Linked DNA regions of Oryctolagus cuniculus. The protein of the gene in region 2 interacts with the protein of the main gene of each other region in a pairwise test. Links are inferred from orthologs where the notes say so. Each region holds a gene or a part of one and is shown on either strand. Other genes may lie near its edges.

What was found.
Region 1: the proteins of ZGPAT (region 2) and keratin, type I cytoskeletal 15 interact in binary tests that used the Homo sapiens proteins (3 or more experiments, as listed by UniProt). The two-hybrid records come from large-scale screens. The link is inferred for Oryctolagus cuniculus from reciprocal best matches to the Homo sapiens genes ZGPAT and KRT15.

Annotation. Positions count from the first base shown.
Region 1 is NC_091448.1:21,109,363-21,113,408, reverse strand, and holds the start of keratin, type I cytoskeletal 15, read right to left. Parts: upstream 2,801-4,046; 5' UTR 2,725-2,800; coding exon 2,200-2,724; intron 1,359-2,199; coding exon 1,276-1,358; intron 1,175-1,275; coding exon 1,018-1,174; intron 733-1,017; coding exon 571-732; intron 473-570; coding exon 347-472; intron 244-346; coding exon 23-243; intron 1-22.
Region 2 is NC_091442.1:341,321-344,822, forward strand, and holds the end of ZGPAT (zinc finger CCCH-type with G patch domain-containing protein), read right to left. Parts: intron 2,208-3,502; coding exon 2,074-2,207; intron 1,956-2,073; coding exon 1,800-1,955; intron 1,406-1,799; coding exon 1,286-1,405; intron 1,192-1,285; coding exon 789-1,191; intron 701-788; coding exon 562-700; 3' UTR 339-561; downstream 1-338. UniProt on the Homo sapiens protein: Transcription repressor that specifically binds the 5'-GGAG[GA]A[GA]A-3' consensus sequence. Represses transcription by recruiting the chromatin multiprotein complex NuRD to target promoters.

The DNA of each region.
Region 1 (4,046 bases), on a different chromosome or scaffold from region 2:
CTGCTCCGCATCCCTGCCCTACTTGGCGTCCTGGCCCTCGAGCAGGCTGCGGTAGGTGGCGATCTCCTGCTCCAGCCGCGACTTGATGTCCAGCAGCCTGTTGTACTCCTGGTTCTGCTGCTCCATCTCGCAGCGCAGCTCGCCCAGCTGGGCCTCCAGGCTGCCCACGAGCCCCTGGATCTGCTGCAGCTGCGTGGCGTATCGGCACTCCACCTCCGCCAGCGAGTTCTCCAGCCCGGCTTTCTGCAGGAGCGACACATCAGGTGGGGAAGAACTCGCCCAGGGCCCTGGCCGGTGGAGGCGGGCCGGCGGCAGGCGGCGGGCAGTGGAGGGCAGGCGGCCCTACCATGCTGAGCTGGGACTGCAGCTCGATCTCCAGCCCCTGCATGGTGCGTCTCAGGTCTGTGATCTCCGTCTTGCTGCTCTGAAGCAGCTCTGTGTTGGAGGCCACCTCCTTATTCAGCTCCTCGGTCTGTGAGTCACACGCAGGAGAGAAGTGAGCCCCGGGGGCCTCCTGCGAGACCTGGGGAGCCGGGCCTGGCCGGGCAGGGTGGGGCAGGGCAGGCCCACCTTGCTGAAGAACCAGGCCTCGGCGTCCCGCCGGTTCTTCTCCGCCATGGCCTCGTACTGCTCCCTCATCTCGGCCAGCATGCGGCTCAGGTCCACACCCGGCGCCGCATCCATCTCCACATTGACCTGGCCGGCCAGCTGGTTGCTGAACTCCTTCATCTCCTGCAGGGTGGAGGAGCCGAAGAGAGAGCCGAGAGTCTGGGGTCCCGCATGCCCACCGTGGCTGTGCCCCTCACTCACACGGTCACCTTGGCCTTCACCACGCCCGCCACTGCTCGTGAGGATCTCCTGCCTGCCCCAGGCGCCACCCAGGGAGGACACAGGAGGTCAGCAGTTCACACTAGAGGACCAGAGGGCCTCTGTGCCACTAAGCACTCTACCAGCTGTGACAAAGGAAGCAGCAGCCCCCCCCGCCACGCCCACCACCACCACCACCCCCAGTCGCACCTCCTCGTGGTTCTTCTTCATGTAGGCCAGCTCTTCAGTCAGGCCCTCGATCTGCGCCTCCAGGTCGGTCCTGGCCAGGGTCAACTCGTCCAGCACCCTGCGCAGCCCGTTGATGTCGGCCTCCACGCTCTGGCGCAGGGCAACCTCGTTCTCATACCTGAGGAGAGAGAGGGATCCGGGCGGCTGAGTCGGAGGGAGAGCAAGGCCCAGCAAAGAGGAGAACGCGGGGTGGGCGGGGCGGGGGAGGCAGGTGTGCACTTGAGCCTGAAGTCGTCGGCAGCCAGCCTGGCGTTGTCGATCTCCAGGATGACCCGGGAGTTGTCGATGGTGGCGGCCAGGATCTGCAGGAGACCAGGAGCTCGGATGCCTAAGGGATTCCTCCCTCCCCTGCTGCCCTCCTGCCACCCGCCAACCCCTCGCTCACCACCTCCAGGTTGGCACCACCAAGGGAAGCCCCTGGGGCCCTTGGCGCAGCCTCACCTGAGGTGCTGCCCTCCTCGGCTCCAGGGCATGGCCTGGGACCCTACCCCCCCTCCCCACCCCGTGGGATGTGGCTGGCCAAGAATGTGCTAGAGTGAGGTGCAGTGGGCTCCAGCCGTAGCCCTCCCCAGGGTCCTCCTGCACCGGCCCCTCTGGGCACAGCTCACGGCCACTGCCCCCTACACTCCTTGACACAGCTGTGCGTCTACGGAACGTGGAGGGGGCCGAGAAGGCGTTTTAGAGGGGAGGAAACCAGTGCCAGTGAGGGAGACAGTGGCAGAGCCTGGAAAGAGCTCCCAGGTCCCCCAAGTCCTGGCAGTGTTCTTGGCACCAAAGCCCCCTGGAAGGGCGCAGCGGGAGGTCCTGGCACTCGGGGCTCCTGCGGTTACACCCCAGCACCATTCTTGCCAAGGAGGTAAAGGAACACTTTGAGCAGACTCCTGCAGGGCGTGTGGGACAGGGAGGGTGAGTCGCTCTCCATAATTGCCCCTACCTGTGCCCCTGTTGGACCTAACGGGATTCCCAAGAGCCCTCCTGCCCACACTGCCAAGGTGAGCAGATGTGCGCCAGCGCGTGCTCCTGGAACGCAGGTGCACGGCCACTCTGCCGAGGTTGCACATAACGCAGTCATCACCCAGGCAGAAGCAGACACGTGCAGGGCACCTGGCACCTGCTCCCCTCCTGCTGTCACCTGGGGCTCACCTTGTCCCGGAGCTCCTCAATGGTCTTGTAGTATTGGCTGTAGTCGCGCTCCGGGCTGCTCGGGCTCTGCTTCTGGTACCAGTCCCGGATCTTCACCTCCAGCTCGCCGTTGGCCTCCTCCAGGGCGCGCACCTTGTCCAGGTAGGAGGCCAGGCGGTCATTGAGGTTCTGCATGGTCACCTTCTCGTTGACAGAGAGGAGGCCGCCGTCGCCACCACCAAAGTCACCAAAGCCACCGCCAAACCCCCCTCCGAAGCCGCCACCAAAACCAGCACCGGCTGCTCCACCAAAGCCGCAGCTCATGCCGCCCCCATAGCCCCCTCCTGACCCCGAAGAGACAAACCTAGCAGAAGAAGCCGAGATGCTGCGACTCCCACCTCCCCCATAAAGACTCCCCCCACCAAAGCCACCTCCCCCATAAAGACTACCCCCACCAAAGCCACCTCCCCCAGCCCGGAGGGAGCCCCCTCGGGTAGAGCCTCCCCCAAAGGTGGAGGAAGAAGTTTGCAGAAATGTGGTAGCCATGGTCAGGCAGCCGGTGAGGTCTCAGCCAACACTGGGTATGCGGGCAGGTATCTGGGCTGGGACCAGAGCACAGCGCCTGTCTCCCCAGCCTGGAGCTCCTTATATATCCCTGGGGGTGGGGGGTGGGGGGTGCAGGACCATGTCTCCTCCCCCAGAGCCGAGCCAGCTCCTCTGCCCTCCCGACAAACACAGCTGCCTGCACACCTCCACGTGGCTCCTTGCAGGTTTTTTTTTTTTTTAATGCAACAAAAGATGATTCAGAATGAATGGTGTTTTGCCCCAGGCCATGATTTTAACACTTGGATTACGGGTCCATCTCTCTACTCCAGGAGAAAGGAGAGAGAGCAGCAGGGAGCAAAGTCCCAGCCAGCTGTGCCTTCGGTGGGTTTCTCCCACCCCAAGGACCCACAGCATGGGCAGACCCTGGCCACCACCATCTCCTGCCCTGGGAGCCTTGCTCCGACACAGACGGCTCCCCACTCTCAGTGGGGACTGTACTTCCCAAACCCTGCTCTGTGCTCACAGACCTGGTACATGAGCTGTGGGGCCCCGGGAGACAGGCTGAGGACAGGAGAGGAAGACTTGATCCAACTGAGGCGACCAGCATCTGTCCTTTCCCTGGGGTTCCTCTGCCTCCCTCCCTCCAACCCAAGGATCTCTCCTTCTCCTCCAGTTCACCCCAGCCTCCATGGCCTTGGCACACTTGCAAAAGCCCAGCAGGCTGAGCCCTGACAGGGGGCTGATTGATGGTGCCGCCACCTGCCAACTGCACATGTCACTGAACCTCTGCTTGCTCCCGGGACGCGTTGGGGCAAACCTCTGCAGATAAGGCCGGGGCACATTCCAGAAAGCCCCTGCCTTCTCCTGGAGAGGCATGTCGCTGCCTAGCAGGGACAGATTAACCCCCGTTTGTCCTGTCGGGCACTGCAGAGCTGAGGAGGGCCGGAGCCAGAAGTCTCAACCAGCCTGAACATTGCCAAGAGCAAAGACGTGGGGAGGCTGGTTGGCCAGAGATGTTGAAGGTCAAGTCAAACACTCAGAGAGGACAACCATCCCCTCTGCCCTCCAAGTTGGGGCCACCTGACACTGTGGTCAATGCAACGTGCAGGTGTGGCTCAGCCTCTGGCCCCCGACTCCAGAATGAACAGAAAGTCTGGGAGCAGAGAGCGAGCAAGACAAGAGAGGGAGACTCAGGAGGAGGGGGGTTTCCTGGGCCAAGGCTGCAGTGTGGTGGGGTGGACGGGGCTCTGGAATCCCTCGGGCCTGGGTTCAAATCCTGTCTCTACTGATGCCGCTTGGGCCAGCTTGGCCGTATGAGTTTT
Region 2 (3,502 bases):
AGAACAGGGCACGGGGCCGACCCCCTCGGCTGGGAGACAGGGAGGACACCAGCCTTCCTGGAGCCCTGTGCAGCGTGCCCCCCCCGACCCCCACAGCCTTCCTGGAGCCCTGTGCAGCGTGCCCCCCCCTGACACCCACAGCCTTCCTGGAGCCCTGTGCAGCGTGGCCCCGACACCCACAGCCTTCCTGGAGCCCTGTGCAGCGTGCCCCCCCCCCCGACACCCACAGCTTTCCTGAGCCCCCTGTGCATCGTGGCCCCCCCCGACCCCCACAGCCTTCCTGGAGCCCTGTGCAGCGTGCCCCCCCCGCCCCGACCCACAGCTCAGCCTCCACGGAACACTGATGAAGTGACTTTAATGTCCTAAGGAGAGGCCCAGCACACGGCAGGTGTCCGGAAGTGACCCTCCAGCCCCACCTCCACTGGACAGCGTCTGTGCCCCCGAGGCCAGGGAGCCCACCACGGGGCAGCCTGGGAGCAGAGTCCTTCTTCAGGCAGTGTCCTGGGGTCAGGGCGGCCCCGGGGGCGGGGTCCTGGGCCTCCAGCCCCAGGGGTGGGGCCTCTAGAACTCCGTCATCTTCTTGTGGGTGTCTGCCTTGCTCTGCGCCCGCTGCAGGCCGGCCTCCTGGGCGCGGAGCTGCCCCAGCCGCCGCTGGGCTCCTGCCAGTTTCTCTTCCAGCTGGGCGGCGGCCACGCTGTACCTAGGGAGGGAGCAGTCAGCATGGACCCCGGCCCACTGCCCCCAGGCCAGCCTGCTGCTTCCGGGCCAGGTGTCCGCAGCCTACATACCGGCCGGTGTTCCGGGCCAGGGCCTCCTGGATGGCCCGGATGTCCCGCTGTGTCCGCTCGATCTTCTCTTCCGTCTGGAGGAGCCGCAGGCTCAGGGCCTGCTTGGCGCTCTTGCTGGCGTGGTACATGTCCTTGCCCCTCCTGGACGGGGCCACCTCGGCCTCCGGAGCCCCAGGGGCCTGGCCTTGAAGCTTCTCATTCAGGAAGTCAAACAGGCTCCGAGGGGGCGGGGCACCCCCGGGCCCGCCCCCACGCCCCCGGCTCCGCGGGGCCCTGCTGGCGCCTGCCCCATCCCCCTGCGCCCTCTTCTGCAGGATCTCCGCACACTGGTCCAGCGACTTCCCCCGCGGCAGCACCACCGCCTGCACGGGCTCCACCCTGCCTTCCAGGTTGCGGCCCAGGCCTGGGGAGACAGGGGCTGGCCGTGCTGCTGCTGCACCCCAGGGCTGTCCTGGGCACCCTCCCCCGCCTCCGGGCAGCTGACAGCTCACGCTCACCCTTGCCAAACTCATAGCCCATCTTAGCCAGGAGTCTGGAGCCGATGGCCCGCGTGTGCGCCTCCCAGCCAGCAAAGGCAGAGCTGCAGGTCCCAGTGTCCACGGCGCTCGGCTCCACCACTGCAGGGGACAAGACGGCAGTCACTGGGCCAGGCCAGATCCCAGCTCCCGGGCACGTCCCTGTGCACCTGTGGGCTCGTGACCGCCCCCAGCTCCCCCCACACCTCGCTATGGCCCCTTCTCCAAATCCCACCCTCGATCCTGCCTGCATCGCCCAGGGTACAGGGCCAGGGACACACCAGTCTCTGGAGGGCTGGCCACGCCCACCAGCTTCCCTGCCGGCCACTTCTGCCCCAGCAGTCTGGACGCTGTCTGGACGCCCCCTGGTGCCAGGCCCTGGGGCTGCACGGCCAGTCCTCCCGCGCATGCTCAGCGAGGACCGAAGCAGCAGTCCCCACTGGCCCCGCTGGGCGTCCCCCCGTCCTGGCTCCTGGGCACCAGGCCGTGGCCGTACCGCGGGCATAGCTGGCGCCGTCTGTGTCGCTGCTCTCCGAGTCGGAGGACTCGGTGGCTTCCGTGCGCAGTGGGGGCAGGACGCCGTCGCCTTCCACCACCGCTTCCTTCAGCAGCAGGGAGTCGAACTTGACTGTGTAGTAGCCACTGTCCACATCTGCAAGGACAGGCAGGCTGAGGTGAGCGGCTACAAGCGGGGAGCAGGGGACCAGGCAGGGTCCACCCCAGGGAGGCGCTCGGAGGCCTTCCCAGGAAGGTGACCGGGCCAGCCTCACCAGTGATCCGCGCTGGGTGCCAGAGGCCGTCCTGGTGCTTGGCCAGACACGCAGAGCCGACCTGCAGGGAGCTCAGGTCCGGGTCCTGGAAGGGACGCAGCTCATCGACAGGGACCACCTGCCCGTGGGAGAACCTGCAGAGAGCCACACCGGCTGCTGACGGAGGGCACGCACACACGCGTGTGCTCTCGCACGCACATGCCTGTGCTCACAGAGGCATGCACACACTGGGCCTCTGCTCATCCACGTGTCCTGGGCTACAGGGACCACGTGGCAGCAGCCAGTCTCGCTCCTGCACACACTCAACCTCTGCCTGTCCACGTGTCCTGGGCCACGGTGACTGTGGCCACACCCTGGCCATAGCCTTGGCCCCTCCCCAACGACCCCACCCCAGACAGAAGCAGTCAGTCCCGGCAGACGGGCTGGAGTGACTGCAACAGCGGCGCCTCGACCCTCAGCTCCCAGTGGGCAGCAAAACCAAAACCAAGACCCAGAAGAGACAACGAAGAGGAAATGGCGCGGGCAGACACAGGGCCGTGACCTTTCACCTTGCCCAATAAGACACAGAAATCCCGACTGCATCATTTCAAGAGGGCACGCGTATCTGGCCCTACGGGGGTAGCTCCGCGGCTGCAGCCGCCGCCGTCCTCAGGCCAACAGCTGAGTGGCGGCCGCAGCCGCCGCCGTCCTCAGGCCAACAGCTGAGTGGCGCCGGCAGCTGTGACTGTGCCCAGGATGGCTGGACAGGGCTGCTGGCGGGGGGAGCTGCCAGACACCCCCGCACTCCTGACACAAGCCTCCCAATTCGGAACAGGCTGAGTAGGCCGCAGGCTTTCCTCCAACTGGAAGACCCACGCCTGGGGAGAGGACCCCACACAGGCGCACAGAGCTCACTCCCTGCCCGCGTCGTGCAGGCACAACACGGAAAAGCTGCACCTGGGGTCTGCACGTTTTAGGGTTCATCTATGGGAGAGGCGGAGAGGCCCTCATCCGCTGGTTCACCAAATGCCCACAACAGCCGGGCTGGGCCAGGCTGAAGCCAGGAGCCAGGAGCTCCACCCGGGGCCTTGCAGGGGCTGGCAGGGGCTGGAACACTGAGCACCCCGCCGCCCCCGGCTGCTTCGCAGCTGCAGGAGTGCTGGCCTCACTCACCGCACCGGAGACCGGGCCGCACTCGTCTCACTGCTGAGATACACATCTGTGCCCAACGGTTACGGTTTGGAGCCTTTTGGATCCTGGATCTTGGATCACCTTTAGCTGAACAAGGGCTTCTAGAAATGCCACCATTTGCAAAGATTTAGCAACACAAAGACTTGGAAACAACCACCAACCACAGGAAGGGGAGGGAGGGGAGTCACCCACGTCCACAGAGGGCGCCCAGGGTGACAGAACAAGCAGGGAGCCAGGCAGGTGCCGGGGGCATGCACGC